Anolis sagrei: one gene and its partner. The protein of the gene in region 2 purifies or fractionates together with the protein of the main gene of each other region. This does not show direct contact. Links are inferred from orthologs where the notes say so. Each region holds a gene or a part of one and is shown on either strand. Other genes may lie near its edges.

Evidence for each region.
Region 1: the proteins of lipopolysaccharide-induced tumor necrosis factor-alpha factor-like (region 2) and NEDD4 purify together in Homo sapiens (co-immunoprecipitation; 4 studies listed by BioGRID and IntAct, counting the BioPlex papers as one, with this or other methods). This does not show direct contact. The link is inferred for Anolis sagrei from reciprocal best matches to the Homo sapiens genes LITAF and NEDD4.

What each region holds. Positions count from the first base shown.
Region 1 is NC_090029.1:1,439,211-1,448,932, reverse strand, and holds the start of NEDD4 (E3 ubiquitin-protein ligase NEDD4), read right to left. Parts: upstream 3,882-9,722; 5' UTR 3,813-3,881; coding exon 2,619-3,812; intron 1-2,618. UniProt on the Homo sapiens protein: E3 ubiquitin-protein ligase which accepts ubiquitin from an E2 ubiquitin-conjugating enzyme in the form of a thioester and then directly transfers the ubiquitin to targeted substrates. Specifically ubiquitinates 'Lys-63' in target proteins.
Region 2 is NC_090034.1:20,485,142-20,495,658, forward strand, and holds the start of lipopolysaccharide-induced tumor necrosis factor-alpha factor-like, read right to left. Parts: upstream 4,289-10,517; 5' UTR 4,117-4,288; exon of another isoform or gene 4,085-4,116; intron 2,898-4,084; exon of another isoform or gene 661-2,897; 5' UTR 648-660; coding exon 290-647; intron 1-289.

The DNA.
Region 1 (9,722 bases), on a different chromosome or scaffold from region 2:
CAAAGGACATTTAATCCACTACCAAACCCACAAATTTTGTATTTTGTCTGTTTGTTTGCTTTGTTCTGTTAGAAATGTAATATAATTTGAGTGGTTGTCCTGACACGACAAATAAATAGCTGTTAGTCAGTTCTTGTGGGTTTTTTCGGGCTATATGGCTATATGGCTTCTGCCAACCTAGCAGTTCGAAAACATGCAAATGTGAGTAGATCAATAGGTACCGCTCCGGCGGGAAGGTAACGGCGCTTCATGCAGTCATGCCAGCCACATGACCTTGGAGGTGTCTACAGACAACGCTGGCTCTTTGGCTTAGAAATGGAGATGAGCACCACACCCCAGAGTCAGACATGACTGGACTTAATATCAGGGGACTACCTTTACCTTTACATTTACCCTTTTATGGCCATGTTCCAGAGGCATTTCTTCTGACGTTTCGCCTGCATCTATGGCAAGCATCCCCAGACCTCACTACCTCTGAGGATGCTTGCCATAGATGCAGGCGAAACGTCAGGAGAAATGCTTCTAGAACATGGCCACAGAGCCTGAAAAAACCTACAACAACCCATTCACACCTAGTTCCAACAGACAAGAGTCCTTTGTCCCACCCTGGTCATTCCACAGATATATAAACCCATTGTCCTAATTCCAACAGACCTCACTACCTCTGAGGATGCTTGCCATAGATGCAGGCGAAACGTCAGGAGAGAATGCCTCTAGAACATGGCCACAGAGCCCGAAAAAACCTACAACAACCCATTCACACCTAGTTCCAACAGACAAGAGTCCTTTGTCCCACCCTGGTCATTCCACAGATATATAAACCCATTGTCCTAATTCCAACAGACCTCACCACCTCTGAGGATGCTTGCCATAGATGCAGGCGAAACGTCAGGAGAAATGCTTCTAGAACATGGCCCTATAGCCCGAAAAAACCTACAACAACCCATTCACACCTAGTTCCAACAGACAAGAGTCCTTTGTCCCACCCTGGTCATTCCACAGATATATAAACCCATTGTCCTAATTCCAACAGACCTCACTACCTCTGAGGATGCTTGCCATAGATGCAGGCGAAACGTCAGGAGAGAATGCCTCTAGAACATGGCCACAGAGCCCGAAAAAACCTACAACAACCCATTCACACCTAGTTCCAACAGACAAGAGTCCTTTGTCCCACCCTGGTCATTCCACAGATATATAAACCCATTGTCCTAATTCCAACAGACCTCACCACCTCTGAGGATGCTTGCCATAGATGCAGGCGAAACGTCAGGAGAAATGCTTCTAGAACATGGCCCTATAGCCCGAAAAAACCTACAACAACCCATTCACACCTAGTTCCAACAGACAAGAGTCCTTTGTCCCACCCTGGTCATTCCACAGATATATAAACCCATTGTCTTAATTCCAACAGACTTCACCACCTCTGAGGATGCTTGCCATATGTGCAGGCGAAACGTCAGGAGAGAATGCCTCTAGAACATGGCCACAGAGCCCGAAAAAACCTACAACAACCCATTCACACCTAGTTCCAACAGACAAGAGTCCTTTGTCCCACCCTGGTCATTCCACAGATATATAAACCCATTGTCCTAATTCCAACAGACCTCACCACCTCTGAGGATGCTTGCCATAGATGCAGGCGAAACGTCAGGAGAGAATGCCTCTAGAACATGGCCACAGAGCCCGAAAAAACCTACAACAACCCATTCACACCTAGTTCCAACAGACAAGAGTCCTTTGTCCCACCCTGGTCATTCCACAGATATATAAACCCATTGTCCTAATTCCAACAGACCTCACCACCTCTGAGGATGCTTGCCATAGATGCAGGCGAAACGTCAGGAGAAATGCTTCTAGAACATGGCCCTATAGCCCGAAAAAACCTACAACAACCCATTCACACCTAGTTCCAACAGACAAGAGTCCTTTGTCCCACCCTGGTCATTCCACAGATATATAAACCCATTGTCTTAATTCCAACAGACTTCACCACCTCTGAGGATGCTTGCCATATGTGCAGGCGAAACGTCAGGAGAGAATGCCTCTAGAACATGGCCACACAGCCCGAAAAAACCTACAACAACCCATTCACACCTAGTTCCAACAGACAAGAGTCCTTTGTCCCACCCTGGTCATTCCACAGATATATAAACCCATTGTCCTAATTCCAACAGACGTCACCACCTCTGAGGATGCTTGCCATAGATGCAGGCGAAACGTCAGGAGAAATGCTTCTAGAACATGGCCCTATAGCCCGAAAAAACCTACAACAACCCATTCACACCTAGTTCCAACAGACAAGAGTCCTTTGTCCCACCCTGGTCATTCCACAGATATATAAACCCATTGTCCTAATTCCAACAGACCTCACAACCTCTGAGGATGCTTGCCATAGATGCAGGCGAAACGTCAGGAGAAATGCCTCTAGAACATGGCCATATAGCCCGGAAAAACCCACAAGAACCTAGTGATTCCAGCCATGAAAGCCTTCGACAATACAATAGCTGTTAGGCTTTTTGGGAGTTGAAGGCCCAAACATCTGGGGACCCACAGGTTGAGAACCACCGCTCTGGACTAAGTCCACCTGGTTCCACCTGAAAGGGACAGCAACTCACCTCTGGAGATGTCCCCAGTGCCAGGTGGGAGGGCGCTTGATTTTCAGGACCAAACTGGATCTGCAGGTGGGAGGCTCCTGCCCCAGGGTGGGACTGGAAAGCGGGCAAACGGGGTGCCGGGGGGCCCCCCAAGGAGACGCTCCTGTGGAGCCCGTGGGGGCCCCGGATCCTCCTTGCAGGGATTGCAGGAGAGTGATCTTCCTCGTTTGGGAGCTGCAAATGTGAGCAGGTCCGGGGAGAAGTGGGGTCAGGCGGATCCGGGGAGAAGTGGAGCGGGGTGCAGCGCCCTTGGTTTGGGGCGTCTTCCTCGGGCGAGGTCCAGCGCCTCCCCCACAAAGCGCTCTTTGGGCAGAGCGGTCGGACGTCCCGACTTCCGTTGGGTGGGGCGGCGCTGGGGGAGAGCCGGAAGCCATTCAGGATGGTGAGGAGCGACCCCGTGGAGGCCCCCTTGACCTCTCCCTCCGGAGGCAGCGAGGAGGGGGACAGCGGAGGGGTACTGCACGGACTCCGGGGGAAGATGACCAGCGAGGAGCACCGCTGCAAGGGACGCCTGCGCCCTTCCGCTGACGGCAACTTGGACACCCGCCCCACAGAGAGATTGTCCAAGGCCACTCTGGGTGCCCAAGCGGTCGCTCCAGGATCAGACTGACCGCCGGCAAACGTGGCTGCGTCCCCGGTGGAGAAGGCGCAGGTGCTGCCACTCTCGCTGATGACGCTGCTGCTGCCGCCACTGCAGGACCCTCCATCGCTGGTGGTGCTCACGCACGAGCCGCAGTCACTCCCCGCGCTGTCAGCAGCCCCTCTCTCGACGCAATTGACATCTGGGACGTCGATCAGACCGCTGCCGGCTGCTGACCGGTGAAGGGGCCGCCCAGGTCGCTCTCCTTCTCTCCTGGGGAAGTGGTCACCAAAAGGCGCCGGTGGGGAGTCCTCTCTGCCACCTTGGGTGCTCTGCAAGGAGATCCTCAGCAAGGCGCTCCTCTTGGGCTTCTGGGACGGAAGGGGCTCGGGGGCCGCGCAACCCAGGAGGGTTTGGGTACGACTCCACTCCTTCCCGGAAACGCCGCCCGCGTCTGGCTTCCCGTCAAACACACGGCTGGCCTCTTGGCCGAAAGGATCTCGGAGCGCCTCAGGGAACGGGTCAACGAGACTTCTTCGGGGGGCCAAGTGGAGTCTCAGCTGCCTCCTCGCCATGGCTCCGCATCTCCACAAACCTTGGAGAGGTGAGTAGTGAAGGTTGAAAACGGTCGCCGGTAGACTCTGAGGAAACAGACAAAGTTAAGGTGGACCTCCCAGCCCTTCTCCGGCCACGGTCCCCGAGTGGGCTTCTTCGGCGGAGGGCACCCTTGAGAGCGGACTTCTTCCCCGGAAGGCACCTTTGAGAGCGGGCTTCTTCCCCGGAGGGCACCCTTGAGAGAGGGCTTCTTCCCCGGAAGGCACCCTTGAGAGAAGAGCGGGCTGCTTTCCCGGAAGGCTCTCTTGAGAGCGGACTTCTTCCCCGGAAGGCACCCCTGAGAGCGGGCTTCTTTCCCGGAAGGCACCCTTGAGAGTGGGCTTCTTTCCTGGAAGGCACCCTTGAGAGCGGGCTTCTTCCCCGGAAGGCAGTCTTGAGAGCGGGCTTCTTCCCCGGAAGGCTCCCTTGAGAGCGGGCTTCTTCCCCGGAGGGCACCCTTGAAAGCGGGCTTCTTCCCCGGAAGGCTCCCTTGAGAGAAGAGCGGGCTTCTTTCCCGGAAGGCTCTCTTGAGAGCGGACTTCTTCCCCGGAAGGCACCTTTGAGAGCGGGCTTCTTCCCCGGAAGGCACCTTTGAGAGCGGGCTTCTTTCCCGGAAGGCACCCTTGAGAACGGACTTCTTTCCCGGAAGGCACCCTTGAGAGCGGGCTTCTTCTCCGGAGGGCACCCTTGAGAGCGGGCTTCTTTCCCGGAGGGCACCTTTGAGAGCGGGCTTCTTTCCCGGAGGGCACCCTTGAGAGCGGGCTTCTTCTCCGGAGGGCACCCTTGAGAGCGGGCTTCTTTCCCGGAGGGCACCTTTGAGAGCGGGCTTCTTTCCCGGAGGGCACCCTTGAGAGCGGGCTTCTTCTCCGGAGGGCACCCTTGAAAGCGGGCTTCTTCCCCGGAAGGCTCCCTTGAGAGAAGAGCGGGCTTCTTTCCCGGAAGGCTCTCTTGAGAGCGGACTTCTTCCCCGGAAGGCACCTTTGAGAGCGGGCTTCTTCCCCGGAGGGCACCCTTGAGAGAGGGCTTCTTCCCCGGAAGGCACCCTTGAGAGAAGAGCGGGCTGCTTTCCCGGAAGGCTCTCTTGAGAGCGGACTTCTTCCCCGGAAGGCACCCCTGAGAGCGGGCTTCTTTCCCGGAAGGCACCCTTGAGAGTGGGCTTCTTTCCTGGAAGGCACCCTTGAGAGCGGGCTTCTTCCCCGGAAGGCTCCCTTGAGAGCGGGCTTCTTCCCCGGAGGGCACCCTTGAAAGCGGGCTTCTTCCCCGGAAGGCTCCCTTGAGAGAAGAGCGGGCTTCTTTCCCGGAAGGCTCTCTTGAGAGCGGACTTCTTCCCCGGAAGGCACCTTTGAGAGCGGGCTTCTTCCCCGGAAGGCACCTTTGAGAGCGGGCTTCTTTCCCGGAAGGCACCCTTGAGAACGGACTTCTTTCCCGGAAGGCACCCTTGAGAGCGGGCTTCTTCTCCGGAGGGCACCCTTGAGAGCGGGCTTCTTTCCCGGAGGGCACCTTTGAGAGCGGGCTTCTTTCCCGGAGGGCACCCTTGAGAGCGGGCTTCTTCTCCGGAGGGCACCCTTGAGAGCGGGCTTCTTTCCCGGAGGGCACCTTTGAGAGCGGGCTTCTTTCCCGGAGGGCACCCTTGAGAGCGGGCTTCTTCTCCGGAGGGCACCCTTGAAAGCGGGCTTCTTCCCCGGAAGGCTCCCTTGAGAGAAGAGCGGGCTTCTTTCCCGGAAGGCTCTCTTGAGAGCGGACTTCTTCCCCGGAAGGCACCTTTGAGAGCGGGCTTCTTCCCCGGAAGGCACCTTTGAGAGCGGGCTTCTTTCCCGGAAGGCACCCTTGAGAACGGACTTCTTTCCCGGAAGGCACCCTTGAGAGCGGGCTTCTTCTCCGGAGGGCACCCTCGAGAGCGGGCTTCTTTCCCGGAGGGCACCTTTGAGAGCGGGCTTCTTTCCCGGAGGGCACCCTTGAGAGCGGGCTTCTTCTCCGGAGGGCACCCTTGAGAGCGGGCTTCTTCTCCGGAGGGCACCCTTGAAAGCGGGCTTCTTCCCCGGAAGGCTCCCTTGAGAGAAGAGCGGGCTTCTTTCCCGGAAGGCTCTCTTGAGAGCGGACTTCTTCCCCGGAAGGCACCTTTGAGAGCGGGCTTCTTCCCCGGAAGGCACCTTTGAGAGCGGGCTTCTTTCCCGGAAGGCACCCTTGAGAACGGACTTCTTTCCCGGAAGGCACCCTTGAGAGCGGGCTTCTTCTCCGGAGGGCACCCTCGAGAGCGGGCTTCTTTCCCGGAGGGCACCTTTGAGAGCGGGCTTCTTTCCCGGAGGGCACCCTTGAGAGCGGGCTTCTTCTCCGGAGGGCACCCTTGAGAGCGGGCTTCTTCTCCGGAGGGCACCCTTGAAAGCGGGCTTCTTCCCCGGAAGGCTCCCTTGAGAGAAGAGCGGGCTTCTTTCCCGGAAGGCTCTCTTGAGAGCGGACTTCTTCCCCGGAAGGCACCTTTGAGAGCGGGCTTCTTCCCCGGAAGGCACCTTTGAGAGCGGGCTTCTTTCCCGGAAGGCACCCTTGAGAACGGACTTCTTTCCCGGAAGGCACCCTTGAGAGCGGGCTTCTTCTCCGGAGGGCACCCTCGAGAGCGGGCTTCTTTCCCGGAGGGCACCTTTGAGAGCGGGCTTCTTTCCCGGAGGGCACCCTTGAGAGCGGGCTTCTTCTCCGGAGGGCACCCTTGAGAGCGGGCTTCTTCTCCGGAGGGCACCCTTGAAAGCGGGCTTCTTCCCCGGAAGGCTCCCTTGAGAGAAGAGCGGGCTTCTTTCCCGGAAGGCTCTCTTGAGAGCGGACTTCTTCCCCGGAAGGCACCTTTGAGAGCGGGCTTCTTCCCCGGAAGGCACCTTTGAGAGCGGGCTTCTTTCCCGGAAGGCACCCTTGAGAACGGACTTCTTTCCCGGAAGGCACCCTTGAGAGCGGGCTTCTTCTCCGGAGGGCACCCTCGAGAGCGGGCTTCTTTCCCGGAGGGCACCTTTGAGAGCGGGCTTCTTTCCCGGAGGGCACCCTTGAGAGCGGGCTTCTTCTCCGGAGGGCACCCTTGAGAGCGGGCTTCTTTCCCGGAGGGCACCTTTGAGAGCGGGCTTCTTTCCCGGAGGGCACCCTTGAGAGCGGGCTTCTTCTCCGGAGGGCACCCTTGAGAGCGGGCTTCTTCTCCGGAGGGCACCTTTGAGAACGGACTTCTTCTCCGGAAGGCACCCTTGAGAGCGGGCTTCTTCCCCGGAAGGCACCTTTGAGAGCGGGCTTCTTTCCCGGAAGGCACCCTTGAGAGAAGAGCGGGTTTCTTCCCCGGAAGGCACCCAAAGAGAGCGGGCTTCTTTCCCGGAAGGCACCCTTGAGAGCGGGCTTCTTCCCCGGAAGGCACCCTTGAGAGCGGGCTTCTTCCCTGGAAGGCACCCTTGAAAGCCCTCTCGTCTGCACTCAATCCTTTGCCGACTCACTCCAGCGAATTAACTCCAGGCCCGCTCTTCTTCGGAGAGACTCCTCCAGCCGAACGCAGGCTGAGCTTTCTTTAGCTCCGAGCAAACGAACAGAGGAACGAACGGCCGCTCATATTTTTACCCAGCGGTTTAGAGTTACAGGAAGTCAGGAGGAATGGAGTCCCACCTCATTATCAGATCCAAGGCTCAATTTTGAAAGATTAATCGGGTAAGGCTGCGCAAACGAAAGAGCGAGGACCCTCTCGGTCGGTCAGGAGAGCGTTATGAAAGCACTTACTGTGTTCAATTTAAAGAGGGAAAACGCTGCGGGTTTGTTTTGGTTTTTTTTGCAGGGAGGAGGGCAAATGCAACGGATTGCAAGCAAGGGAGACCCCGAAAATAAAAGCCAGAATGTCATGTCATGACCACATTTTGGACAGATTCAATCTCTGGGTCACTTCTGACAGCACCTCAGCATGTGTTGCTTTTCACCTCAAACTACAAGAAAGGAGATTCCATCTGAATATGAGGAAGAACTTCCTGACTGTGAGAGCCGTTCAGCAGTGGAACTCTCTGCCCCGGAGTGTGGTGGAGGCTCCCTCTTTGGAAGCTTTTAAACGGAGTCTGGATGGCCATCTGTCAGGGGTGATTTGAATGCAATATTACTGCTTCTTGGCAGAATGGGGTTGGACTGGATGGCCCAAGGAGGTCTCTGTTGGGGTTCAGCCTGAGTTTGAACTTGAACCTGATTCTCTGTTCCTCCTGTTGCTAATGAAAATATATTTACTGATGCTAATGGAAATGTACCTTTTGATGCCAATGCTCCTGAAATTAGTGAGGAAGAATCTGCTGTAGGTTTGGAAAATGCCAATGTTCCTGAAATTAGTGAGGAAGGGACTTCTGTAGATTTGGGAAATGAAAGTCCCAGTGTTCATGAGAATGTTTCAGAGGGAGACCTTGAACTTTCCCTCCCTTCTGCACCTGTTAACTGTAATGACAACAGGAGGAACCAAATTTGGGAAGACAGAAGTAAATCACTCAGTTTGCGCCGATCCTCCCGAATTCAAGAATTAAAAACATTAGCTTCAAAACAGAAGGGCGGTTCACGGAACCGATTCTTGAGTTTTAATTGCAATACGCCAGGCTGATTGCCTCAGTTCAGGCATCGTTTCAGAATTGATGAAGACCTTGGCAGTTCTCCCGGTTCCCTGGTCATAGTATGGAAAGATTTCTAGGATATCAAGTACGGTTAGTGGATTGCTAACAGATTCCAGCAGTTCCTAGTGAGGCTTTTGGTTTTGCTTTGTCCATTTAAATTCATGTTTGCTGATTTTGCTGTGGCTTTTGACTTGCATTTTTCCTTTATTTTGTAACCATTTTTCTTCAATAAAAAAGGATTGTTTTTCACAGCCAAGTGTGGTGGAGAGTTATCTGAGGGCCTCGTTTCCTGCTCTGGGTTGCAACAGTCTCTTCCAAGTCTAGGATTCTAGGATTCTATGAATGAAGCACCTGAGCATGTTGACAGATCCTTTCCACGTCAAGGGCAAAAGAATGCTTCCAGACGCTGGTAGAGAAAGCGTGCTGCTTGGGGGGCAAACATTACACCCTGGGCCCAAAGCAATGCGCCATTCCCCACTGACAGCACTCGCAAGACCAAGCCTTTCCGCTTTGCTCAGAGTCCATTTGCCCTGCAAAGCTGATATGACGAACCAGCCCAGAGCAAGTGCCAGAGGACCGCTTGGCTGCATTTCAGGGCTGCTGCCATCTTCCAGCCACTCCTCTCTTTGCTCGCCCGGCGTTTATGGCCCCCTTGGAAATGGCAACAAGGCTCTATGTTGTGCTCTGGCCGGGGCCCTTCCTTCCCCACAAGCAAACAGTCCTGCCCATTTCTGAATCCAGCCTCAGAAGCACGGATCTAGGCGAGAACACTGCACCCTTCATGCTTTGGGCCAATCGCATGCCTGCCTATTCCCAGCCTGGTATTTGTTTAACCTTCGGGACATTTTTGGTCCGTTTGCATCCAAACCAGCATTTCACACCCTCTCAAGGGGACTGGAACCACTTTGGAAAACAGTATTTAACAGCACCATCCATTCCTGAAAACACAAGACAGAAAGCGGGCCTTTGCTCAGCCTCATTTTGCTCTGTTCCCAAAAGGAAGATACACACAATATATTTTTGCCCAGCAAGACAATGCCAGTGTCGTTTTGCAAAGTACCTGACTTCTACCGCTCAACAAAAGATTGCTCCAGGCACTGCCAGGCCATCAAATGCTAATCAAGGAGGTCAGTTGAAACATTCACACCTAGCTCCAGCAGACAAGAGTCCTTTGTCCCACCCTGGTCATTATTCCACAGATATATAAACCCCTTTTCCTAGTTCCAACAGACCTCACTGTTGCCTCAGAGGAGCGTGCTTGCTCCATCCATGCTCAACATCTACACAAATGACCAG
Region 2 (10,517 bases):
AAAGACAATCCATACACATAGAGTGCATTACAGTGTTGAATTAATACACTTTGACACTGCGTTATCCTACATGGTGCAACAATATGGAATCCTGAAAGTTGTAGTTTGCACAGTTTGGCAGAGACTGCTGAAGTCTGCAGATTACAAGCTACAATTCCCAGGATTCCATTGCATTGAGTCACAGTAGTTAAAAGTGGAGTGAAATTGCAATCATTCTACAGTCTAGGTGTACCCTAATTGACCCAGGCTTAGACATTTGCCCCCCAATTTTCCCCATTTAGAGACGTACTTGTTATGCTGTATGCATCTCCTGAAGAAGACTGGGGCAAATATGAGTCTGGTGTATATTTCTCCGGGGCATAGGGCTGAGATTCATAAGGCTGGGGGGCGCAGGGCTGGGATTCGTAGGGCTGGGGGGTGTAGGACTTGGGTTCGTAGGGCTGGGAGGTGTAGGGCTTGGGTTCGTAGGGCTGGGGGGCGTAGGACTTAGGTTCGTAGGGCTGGGAGGTGTAGGGCTTGGGTTCGTAGGTCTGGGGGGTGTAGGGCTTGGGTTCGTAGGGCTGGGAATATTCCGGCACATATGGCTCCGGACGGGGGGCAATGTCAGTCATTGGGATGGTTACATGCTTCACCGTCTTCTGCTCCATCTTGAGAGTCGGCCTGCAAGGCAAAACAGCAGAAGAGGTGAAGGAGCCATGAGGAAGCTTTTTGGCTGCATGGAAACAGAGTGGGAGAAACAATAGTCCCTCTATTCCTTTGCCCCCTTTGGCATCACAACCTGCAGATTGCAACCAAACAGCAGTCCTAAAAGAAATAGAGAACAAGATGAAGCAGAGCAGTATAGTGGTTTGAGTTTTGAAGACTCCCGGGTTCGAATCCCTGCTTAACCATGGAAGAGCAGCTTTGCGCAAGTTGCACTCTCTCAGCCTCCAAGGGAGGCAAAAGCAAAAGCCCTTTGAACAAATCTGCCTGGTTGAATCCCAAGTCAAAACATAGCAATTGCAAAACAGGAGGCAGCTTGGAACACATACCACATTGTCTACCGATTCTCATTGTTTTGGACAAAATCCAAATAACTGACAGTCCACAACTAATGGTAGACTGCAATAAGGAAAAGGAGGAAAGAGGAGAACAGGAGGAAGAAGAAGAAAAAAGGGGAGGAAGAAATATATATATTCTGGTTTTGCATTGGTTCCAGTTTGTAGGATGGTTAGCCACTTTTGAGTCCTGTGATTGGGAGAAATGCATAAAACAACTCAGTAATAAAAACAATGCTAATAGGGCAGTAAAAGATATTACTTTATTCATTGTATATCGACTTGCAGTTTCTCAGGTTGCTCCTGACTTGAGAAACTTAAAAGTCGATATACAATGAATATAAATATAGAATTGTATATCCCACCCTCCTCCTTTTCAGCATCAACTGAGTCTACAAGGTGAGACCAACTAGCTTTCTATAAATTAAGAAAATAGTAAGATATTATACTGCCTTAATCACATTGGTTTCACTGCATGATGACGATATTAATTTGTATCCCACCTATACACACCATGAATCCACTTGTACCTTGGACCAAGTCAGAGACACAAAAACAACCCTGACAGCCTCTGTACATGCTTTTCCTAAGCTCCGTATTTTGCCTTTGTTTTGCAATGGCTCCCCAAAGGAGACAAACAAGGCCTCAATGTGCAAGTGTGGTTAAAGGTGTGATGTCATGGCCCCCACGTGTTGGTGATATCAGCCTTTAATGAGAGAAATACCTTCCTCTAATTACGGGCCTCGATTCTGAGCAGCCTTTCTAAAGGCTTGCTCATCCAGCCTGATTTGCCTCCACTTGGTGCTCCAACCCATGCAAATTGGCCCCATTCATGCATTCCTGATGAAAGAATGTGGAGGTAGGTGGCAATTGACCACTCCTTGGGCCGCTATAAACGTCCACATTTTTTCTAAATGATGCGGTTTATTCATGTGCCATTCCCTTGCTAGAGAGCATTTGCCCCACAATGACAGCTATTTGGCAGCCAAAGGACAGCTTCCAAGTGATGTGTTTCCCATTTGGTTTCACTTCGAGTCTCCTTGTTTTGGGGGATACAAAGTCCCATCATCCACAGCCATGCCTGCCTTGGGAAGATGGGCTACATGACTCCAATGCCTGAGTCCTTAATATCATGGATCCAGAAATTAAATTAATTACTTCCTATTGACCAGATGGGTTGGTTCTAGTTTTGGACCTACAAATTGGATTCGGAACAGGGTGACTACAAATCCCAGAATCCCCCATCCAGTATGGCCAAAATGGGGTTCTGGGAGTTATAGTCCAACCCATCCATATGCTCAAAAACAACTGGAAGCTAGTTTCTCCATCCGATCCCATAATGTCTGTTTGGTCCTCTGTCTTTTTTTATCTGTTTCGGAATAGTTTTAAGCTTGGAAAATGCATGAAAGTTGGGATGATGCAACAAGCAAAGCTACTGTTAGGTGGATTGGGAACTAGTTCACCCGCTATTTCTATCCAATGGCTTCCCCCTTCTTCCTGGAGAGAAGTGACTTTTGGGGTCTTGTCTTGGGCCTTTAAGGGCTATTCAGAAGCTTTATCAGTGGCTTGGATGACAGACTAGAAGGCAGGCTGATCCAAATTTGGGAGGGACAGCAAATACCTAGAGCAGGGGTCCTCAAACTAAGGCCCAGGGGCCGGATACGGCCCTCCAAGGTCATTCACCCAGCCCTCGCTCAGGGTCAACCTAAGTCTGAAATGACTTAAAAGCACACAACAATAACAACAATCCTATCTGATCAGCCAAAAACAGGCCCACACTTCCCATTGAAATACTAATAAGTTTATATTTGTTAACATAGTTCTTCATTTTGATTATTGTATTGTTTTTAAGTGGGGGTTTTTTTTGCACTACAAATAACATGTGCAGTGGGCATAGGAATTCATTCATGTTTTTTTTCAAATTATAATCTGGCCCTCCAACAGTTTAAGAGACTGTGACCTGGCCCTCTGTTTAAAAAGTTTGTGGACCCCTGACCTAGAGGATGGGACCAGGATCCAAAATGACCTCAACAGATTAGAGAGCTGATTGTCCAGAACTAACAAAACGGAATTTCAGTAGGCAATAACAATGAAGTGTACAGATAGAGGAGTTAAAGGGATTGAGGAGTAATAGTAATAATAATAATACCACCACCTGTCAGCTGCAAAAGGCCCCCTTCTTGGATCTGCACGCATTATTAACCAATACATCACACAGTCCTAGAAACTTGTGGTGTCCGACGTGTGATCCAATACAAAAGCCAGCATAGTGATCTTGTTTGCTGTGTACTAGTCTTTTTGTGTATCTAATAATAGTAGTAGTAGTAGTAGTAGTAGTAATAATAATGATAATAATAATAATAATAATAATAATACAAGAGTGTGATGTGGCAGCTAACAAGGCCAATGTGATCCTAGACTACTTCAATAGGAGTCTAGCGTTTAAACAGAGGGAAGTTATATTGACCATGGATTGACTATATCTAAGTCTGAGAAAATGATCTAGAGTCTTAGCAGACTGGAAACTGAATGAGAGACTACAGTGTGATGCAGCAGCAAAATAGGCCAATACGATCCTAGGCTGCAACAATAGGAGTCTAGTGTCTAAATTGATAGAAGTAATCTTGGCTATGTCTTGATAATAGTTATGTTTGTGATGTATGCTAACAAGGCCAATGTGATCCTAAACTGCATCAATGGCGGTGTAGAGTCCCACTCTTTTCTGCCTTGGTTGGATCTCACCTGGAATAATAACCCTGTATCCAGTTCTGAGCAAAGCAATTCAAGAAAGAGATGGACAAGCGGGAAGGAGGACCAAAATGGCCAAGGCTTATGAGGAACAGCTTAAATTGCTGAGGATGTTTAGCTTGGAGAAGGCGGATAGAAGAATATGAGAGTCATGTTGAAATATTTGGAAGGATGCCCTGTTGAGGAAGGGGCAAGGCTTGTTTTCTGCTGCTCCAGAGACTGGGACACAACAGAGTATTGGATTCAAATTGCAGAAAAAGGGATTCCATCTGAACATTAGGAAGAAATGATTTCCCTACCTGTGTGGACCAGGATCAGATAGAACTGGTACCTCTTTCCCGGAGTCTCTGTTCACTTCATCGGCCTCTTGGCTCCTCTGATGTCCAAGGAAGGGTCATGATCTATTCCTAAGATCTTGCTGACTTGGAGCCCAGGTCCGGAGTGAGGGTTTATCCCATCTCAAAGGGGCAGGAAGAGATAGGAGTTTGGCCGGAAGGGAGGAGAAATGGAGCAGCTGTGTAATTACCCTCCGGTTAGCCAAGCACTCCATCCTCTTTCCAAACGCAAACATCCCAAAGAGGAATGCCGGGGAACGGGTTGGATGAGACAGGGCTCATTTGGTTGGGTGTCCATTCAAGATAGCACCTCTCAACAGGAGCACCTTTGTTTTGGAGAGTTTTGCGGCACTGATCCAAGGCCAGCTAAATTGTGTTTTCTATGGCTTTGACTGCATCTGAAGCAGGCCAGGACTTTGGCAATGTTTGCAGTGATCCGAAGCAATGGTTGCAATGATATATGATTGCAGTGGCTTCACCTGATTGTATCCGAAACAATGGTTGTAAGGGTACATCGTTGCAAGGATGCACGTTTGCAGTGGCTTCTCCTGACTGTATCCGAAACAATGGTTGCAAGGATACATTAATGCAGTGGTTCTCAACCTTCCTAATGCCGTGACCCCTTAATGCAGTTCCTCATGTTGTGGTGACCCCCCAACCAAATTTGGCACAATTACCTGATACACCCAAATTTGAATACTGGTGGGGTTGGGGGGGGGGAGTTGGTTTTGTCATTTGGTGTTGTAGGTAAAGGTTTTCCCCTGACATTATGTCCAGTCATGTCTGACTTGGGTGTGGTGCTCATCTCCATTTCTAAGCCAAAGAGCCAGCGTTGTCCGTAGAGACCTCCAAGGTCATGTAGCCAGCATAACTGCAGGGAGCATCGTTACCTTCCCACCAGAGCAGTACCTATTGATCTACTCACATTTGCATGTTTTTGAACTGCTAAGTTGGCAGAAGCTGGGGCTGACAGCGGAAGCTAATGCCACTTCCTGGATTTGAACCTGCGCTCTTTTGATCAACAAGCTCAGCAACTCAGCAGTATCGTTGTTGGGATTTATCGTTAACCTACAATCAAAGAGCATTCTGAACTCCACCAACGATGTAATTGAAACAAACTTGGCACACAGATATCCCTTGACCAACAGAAAATACTGGAAGGGTTTGGTGGACATTGACCTTGAGTTTTGGAGCTGTAGCACTGTGGACTCAAACAATGATGGATCTGGACCAAACCTGGCAAGAATACTCAATCTGCCCAAATGTGAACACTGGTAGATTTTGGGGAAATTAGACCTTGACACTTGGGAGTTGTAGTTGCTAGGATTTATAGTTCACCTACAATCAAAGAGCATTCTGAACTCCATCAACGATGAAATCGAACCAAATGTGGCACACAGAACTCCCATGACCAACAGAAAATACTGGAAAGATTTGGCAGGCATGGACCTTGAGTTTTGGAATTGTAGTTCACCTACCTCCAAAAGCACTGTGGACTCAAACAATGATGGATCTGGACCAAACTTGACACGAATACTCAATATGCCCAAATGTGAACACTGGTGGAGTTTGGGGAACATTGACTTGACATTTGGAAGTTGCATTTGCTGGGATTTATAGTTCACCTACAATCAAAGTACACTCTGAATCCAGCCCACAATCAAGGGAGGGCTCGTGTGAAGGAGCCCCCGGCTGCCTCGCGGCCTCGCCATTTGGTGAAGCCGCGAGGGAGCTGAGGCAGCCTCCACACAAGCCCTCCCTGGACTCCCCCACGGGCGCCAAGGAGCCCAGAGAGGGCTCGTGCAAAGGAGCCCCCGGCTGCCTCGCGGCCTCGCCATTTGGCGAAGCTGCGAGGGAGCCGAGGCAGCCTCTGCACAAGCCCTCCCTGGGCTCCTTGGCGGCCTCGCCATTTGGCGAGCCCGCTGGGGAGCCCAGGGAGGGCTCGTGCAAAGGAGCCCCCGGCCGCCTCGCGGCCTCGCCATTTGGCGAGGACGCCAAGGAGCCCAGGGAGGACTCGCAGCCTTGTGGGCGGGGCCGAAGGAGGCGGCCTCGCGACCCCTCCGAAATGGCCAAACGACCCCCTGGGGAGTCGCGACCCCCAGGTTGAGAACCGCTGCATTAATGCATTGGCTTCGCCTGACTGCATCCAAAACAATGGTTGTAAGGATACATCATTGCAAGGATGCATGTTTGCAGTGGCTTCTCCTGACTGCAATCAAAGCAGTGGTTGTAAGGATACAGAATACCAGGCTCTCCTGACTGCATCCAAAGCAGTGGTTGCAATGATACATAATGCAGTGCTTCTTCTGACTGCCTAAAAAACAATGCTTGCAATGTTACATAATGCAGCGTTTCTTCTGACTGCATATGAAGCAGTGCTTGCAATGATACAGAATGCAGTGCTTTTCCTGATTGCATTCAAAGCAGGCCAAGACTGAAAATGCAGTGGCAATGGTTACATTCTCCTTGTAGTTAAGCTGGGCCTGTTTTGTCTGAGAAATAAATTGCTTACCTTCCAAGTTCTGGTCCAATTCAGTTTCCGTACTCAATGCATTCATTATAACACTTTGTCAAAGGCCAATAATATCAGGAATTTGAAATAACAGGGTTCGAATCCCTGCTCAACCATGGAAATCCTTTGGGTGGCATGGGGACAGCCACACCCTCTCAGCCTCAGAGGGAGACCCCTTTCTGAATTGATCCAGATAAGGAACCCCTATTATCCTCAGTTCTTGTGGGTTTTTTCGGGCTATATGGCCATGTTCTAGAGGCATTTCTCCTGACGTTTCGCCTGCATCTATGGCAAGCATCCTCAGAGGTGAGGTCTGCTGGGACTGGGAAAAAGGGGGTTTATATATCTGTGGAATGACCAGGGTGAGACAAAGGGCTTTTGTAAGTTGGGCTGGGTGTGAATCTTTCAGCTGACCACCTTGATTAGCATACAATGGGCTGACTGTGCCTGGAGCAAAACTCTTCTTGAAAGGTGATTAGATGTCCCTGCCTGTTTTTCTCTCTGCTGTTTTTGCTGTTGCAATTTTAGAATTTTTTAATACTGGTAGTGTGTTCATTTTCATGGTTTCTTCCTTTCTGTTGAAATTGTCCACATGTTTGTGGATTTCAATGGCTTCTCTGTGTAGTCTGACATGGTGGTTGTGAGAGTGGTCCAGCCCCTATTATTTTGGAGAGCTGGAATGGCTCAGTGGTTTGTGTGAATTAGGCCTCTAGGAGACACAAGTTCAAATCCTCACTTGGCTATTGAAACTCCACAGGTTACACTCTCTCAGCCTCCAGCATTCTTTCTATTAGGATTTCCAAAAAACGAATGCCTTGAATTTGGGCAAGTTGCACCTTCTCAGCATCATAATAAAATCTTGGCAACCTTCTTGGATAGAAATCTACGCAGCCCTCTCTCCGGACTCCCCCAGAACACAAAGAAATGCATACAAGGCTAGATTGCATCTTATAATCAATACCCATTTTATCGTATGATAAAAGGACTTTTGGACCCTTCCAGTTTGCTGATAAGTGTATATGTCTCCAACTTACAGTGTCCCTACAGCAAACATGTCACTGGTTTTTCTTGGCAAGATTTATACAAAGGAGGTTTGCCCTTTGCCTTCCTCTGAGGCTGAGAGAGTATGGCTTGGGCCCAGTGGGTTTCTATGTGAGGATGCGAACCCAGATCTCAGAAAATAGTCCTCCAGTGCTCAAATTGCTTGCTTATACCAAGTTGTTCATGAAAAGCAGCACCCCTTCAACTTCCTGCCAGCAAAGGTGCCGCAGTGTTTTGAATGTTAGATTAAAGCTCTGGAGTCCAGGGTTTGAATCCTCCCTTTTGGCCATGAAGCCTAATGAGTGCCCTTGGGCAGGGTGCACGGTCTCAGCCCCAGATAACCTTGCAATGATAGCCTTGCCTTTGAGCCCTCCACAAAGCAACAAACTGCTCCCTCTCTGCTTCCGTCTCTCGAAGCATCCAAGGCAAACTCTATATAAAACTTTTTTCCCCAACACGCCCTAAATCTGGCCCTGATCCGGCAGGTGGGTGGGATCGCCAGTTTATTACAGGTGTGAAATGCTGAATGCCCTGTTTATTACTAGGAGGTTTGTATTAAAACTCAGTCACACCTGTTGCCTTTCCGCCCGGACCTCATTTGACATGTTCCACATCTTTATCTGTGACTCGGACAATGGGAGAGAAGGCGCGTCGCTCCCACGTGCAGATAGGACGCAATGGGGGAGGGATAACCCATATGGTTTGGATCAGGATCCACAGTGATCCTTGTAACAGATTAGAGAGCTAATTGGCTCTAAATAAGGGAATGGATTTCAACAGGGAGAAATGCAAGGTGGAAATAAACAAAATGCACAGATATAAGATGTGGAGTGCCTGGCTTCAAAACATGTGTAAGGAATCTAGGAGTTTTATGAGGGCACAAACTGAGGAAGAGCCAACAGTGTGATGCGGCAGCAAAAAAAAAGGCCAATGCAATTCTAGGAGTCTAGTGTCTATATTGAGGGAAGTAATATGGATTGTGGCTTTATAATGGATGGATGGATTAATGGATAAGATAGATAGGCAGGCAGGCATGAAAGAGATCTAGGAGTCTTAGTGGACCACTAGATGGGGGGTGAGTCAAAAGTGTGATGCAGCATGGAAAAAGACCAATGCGATTCTAGGCTGTATCAATTGGAGCGTAGTGTCTAGATTAATAGAAGTAATATTGGCTATGGCTTGACAATAATTATATGTGTGTGTGTGTATGTATGCATATATATGAAAAGAATCTAGGAGCCTTAGTAGACCACAAGCTGAACAAGACAGTGTGATGCGGCAGCTAAAAAGGCCATTACAATTCTAGATTGTAACAATAGGAATCTAGTTGCAGTAATATTGGGTATGGCTTGAATACACACATACACACACGTGTGTTTGGTAAATATATTCTCTCATATATATATATATATATATATATATATATATATATATGAAACTGATCTAGAAGTATTAGTGGACCACGAGCTGAACAGGAGTCTACAGTGTGATGTGGCAGCTAAAAAAGCCAATGTGATAACTCTCCTACATCCATAGGAGCAAATGTCTACACCAAGGAAAGTCCCACTGTGAGATCTATCATCAGCACCCTTGAGTCGGTCCATCATCAGCATATTGCTTAACCAATTAACCTACAGCTTGATGTCTGTCATCATTAGAGATCAAATGTGCTTAAACAAATAATACTTAATGTTCCAAGGAAACAGTGGCCCTTGAGAAAGTGGCTTCCTTCTGCATTAGAATTCCTCAAGGGACCTGAATAACAAAACCCCGAGTTGCTTTTTCTGAGTTTTAAACTCCTTCTCCTGGAAAAACAATTAACTCAACATGAGTTGGGAGAATTCTGCCTCTGAACTAAATTTGCTTTTGCAAAATGCCTTAAGGATAATTTCTGTTCCTGAATTCGAGAAGTAACTTTCCAAGTATTTCGACCTCAGAGGAAAGCAATCTTGAGAGCCAGGAGCGGGAGTTTGGCAACTTAATTGTGATAAAAAGCAAGATGAAGACAACAACGAGGACAACAACAACAATACAATTTTGAGCATTAAACTAAGAGTCAATGGGAGGCCTGCATTTTAATCCCGGTTTAGCAATGGAACCCTATTGGGTGAGTCACACTCCCTCAGCCTCAAAAGGAGGCAATGGCAAAACCCACCTGAAGAAATCTTGAGAACAACAACAACAACAATAGTTTAGCTATGAGTCTAGGAGACCTGCATTTGAATCCTGGCAAAGCAATGGAACCCTATTGGGTGAGTCACACTCTCTCAGCCTCAAAAGGAACCAATGACAAAACCCACCTGAAGAAATCTTGAGGAGAAGAAGGAGAAGAAGAGGAAGAGGAAGAGGAAGAGGAAGAAGAAGAAGAAGAAGAAGAAGAAGAAGAAGAAGAAGTAGTTTGAGCTAAGAGTCTGGGGAGGCCTGCATTTGAATCCCGGCTTAGCAATGGATCCCTTTTGGGTGAGTCACACACTCTCAGCCTCAGGAAGGCAGCAGCAAACCTCTGGACCAATCTGACCAAGAAAACTGCTTAACTTAGGAATGAATTTAAGGCATGCAGCAACAACAACAACATATTTGGATACTTTGGCTGGAATGTGGTGTCAAGTGATGCACCAAGATTTGGTTCCTGAAAAGGCACAAGCGACTGCTGCCAAAGGGTACACACCTGGGGACATTGCAATGGAGTAGTTTAAAAAGCAAATAATAACAAGACTAGAATCAGGGAAGCGGGCAAAGCGGAACATCTCATAACGCAACATGTAATAATGCACGGCCACAAGCCACGTTTCAGATAAACTCAAGGAACTTGGAGTGAAATGCGTGACTCGGCAGCTAAGGCGT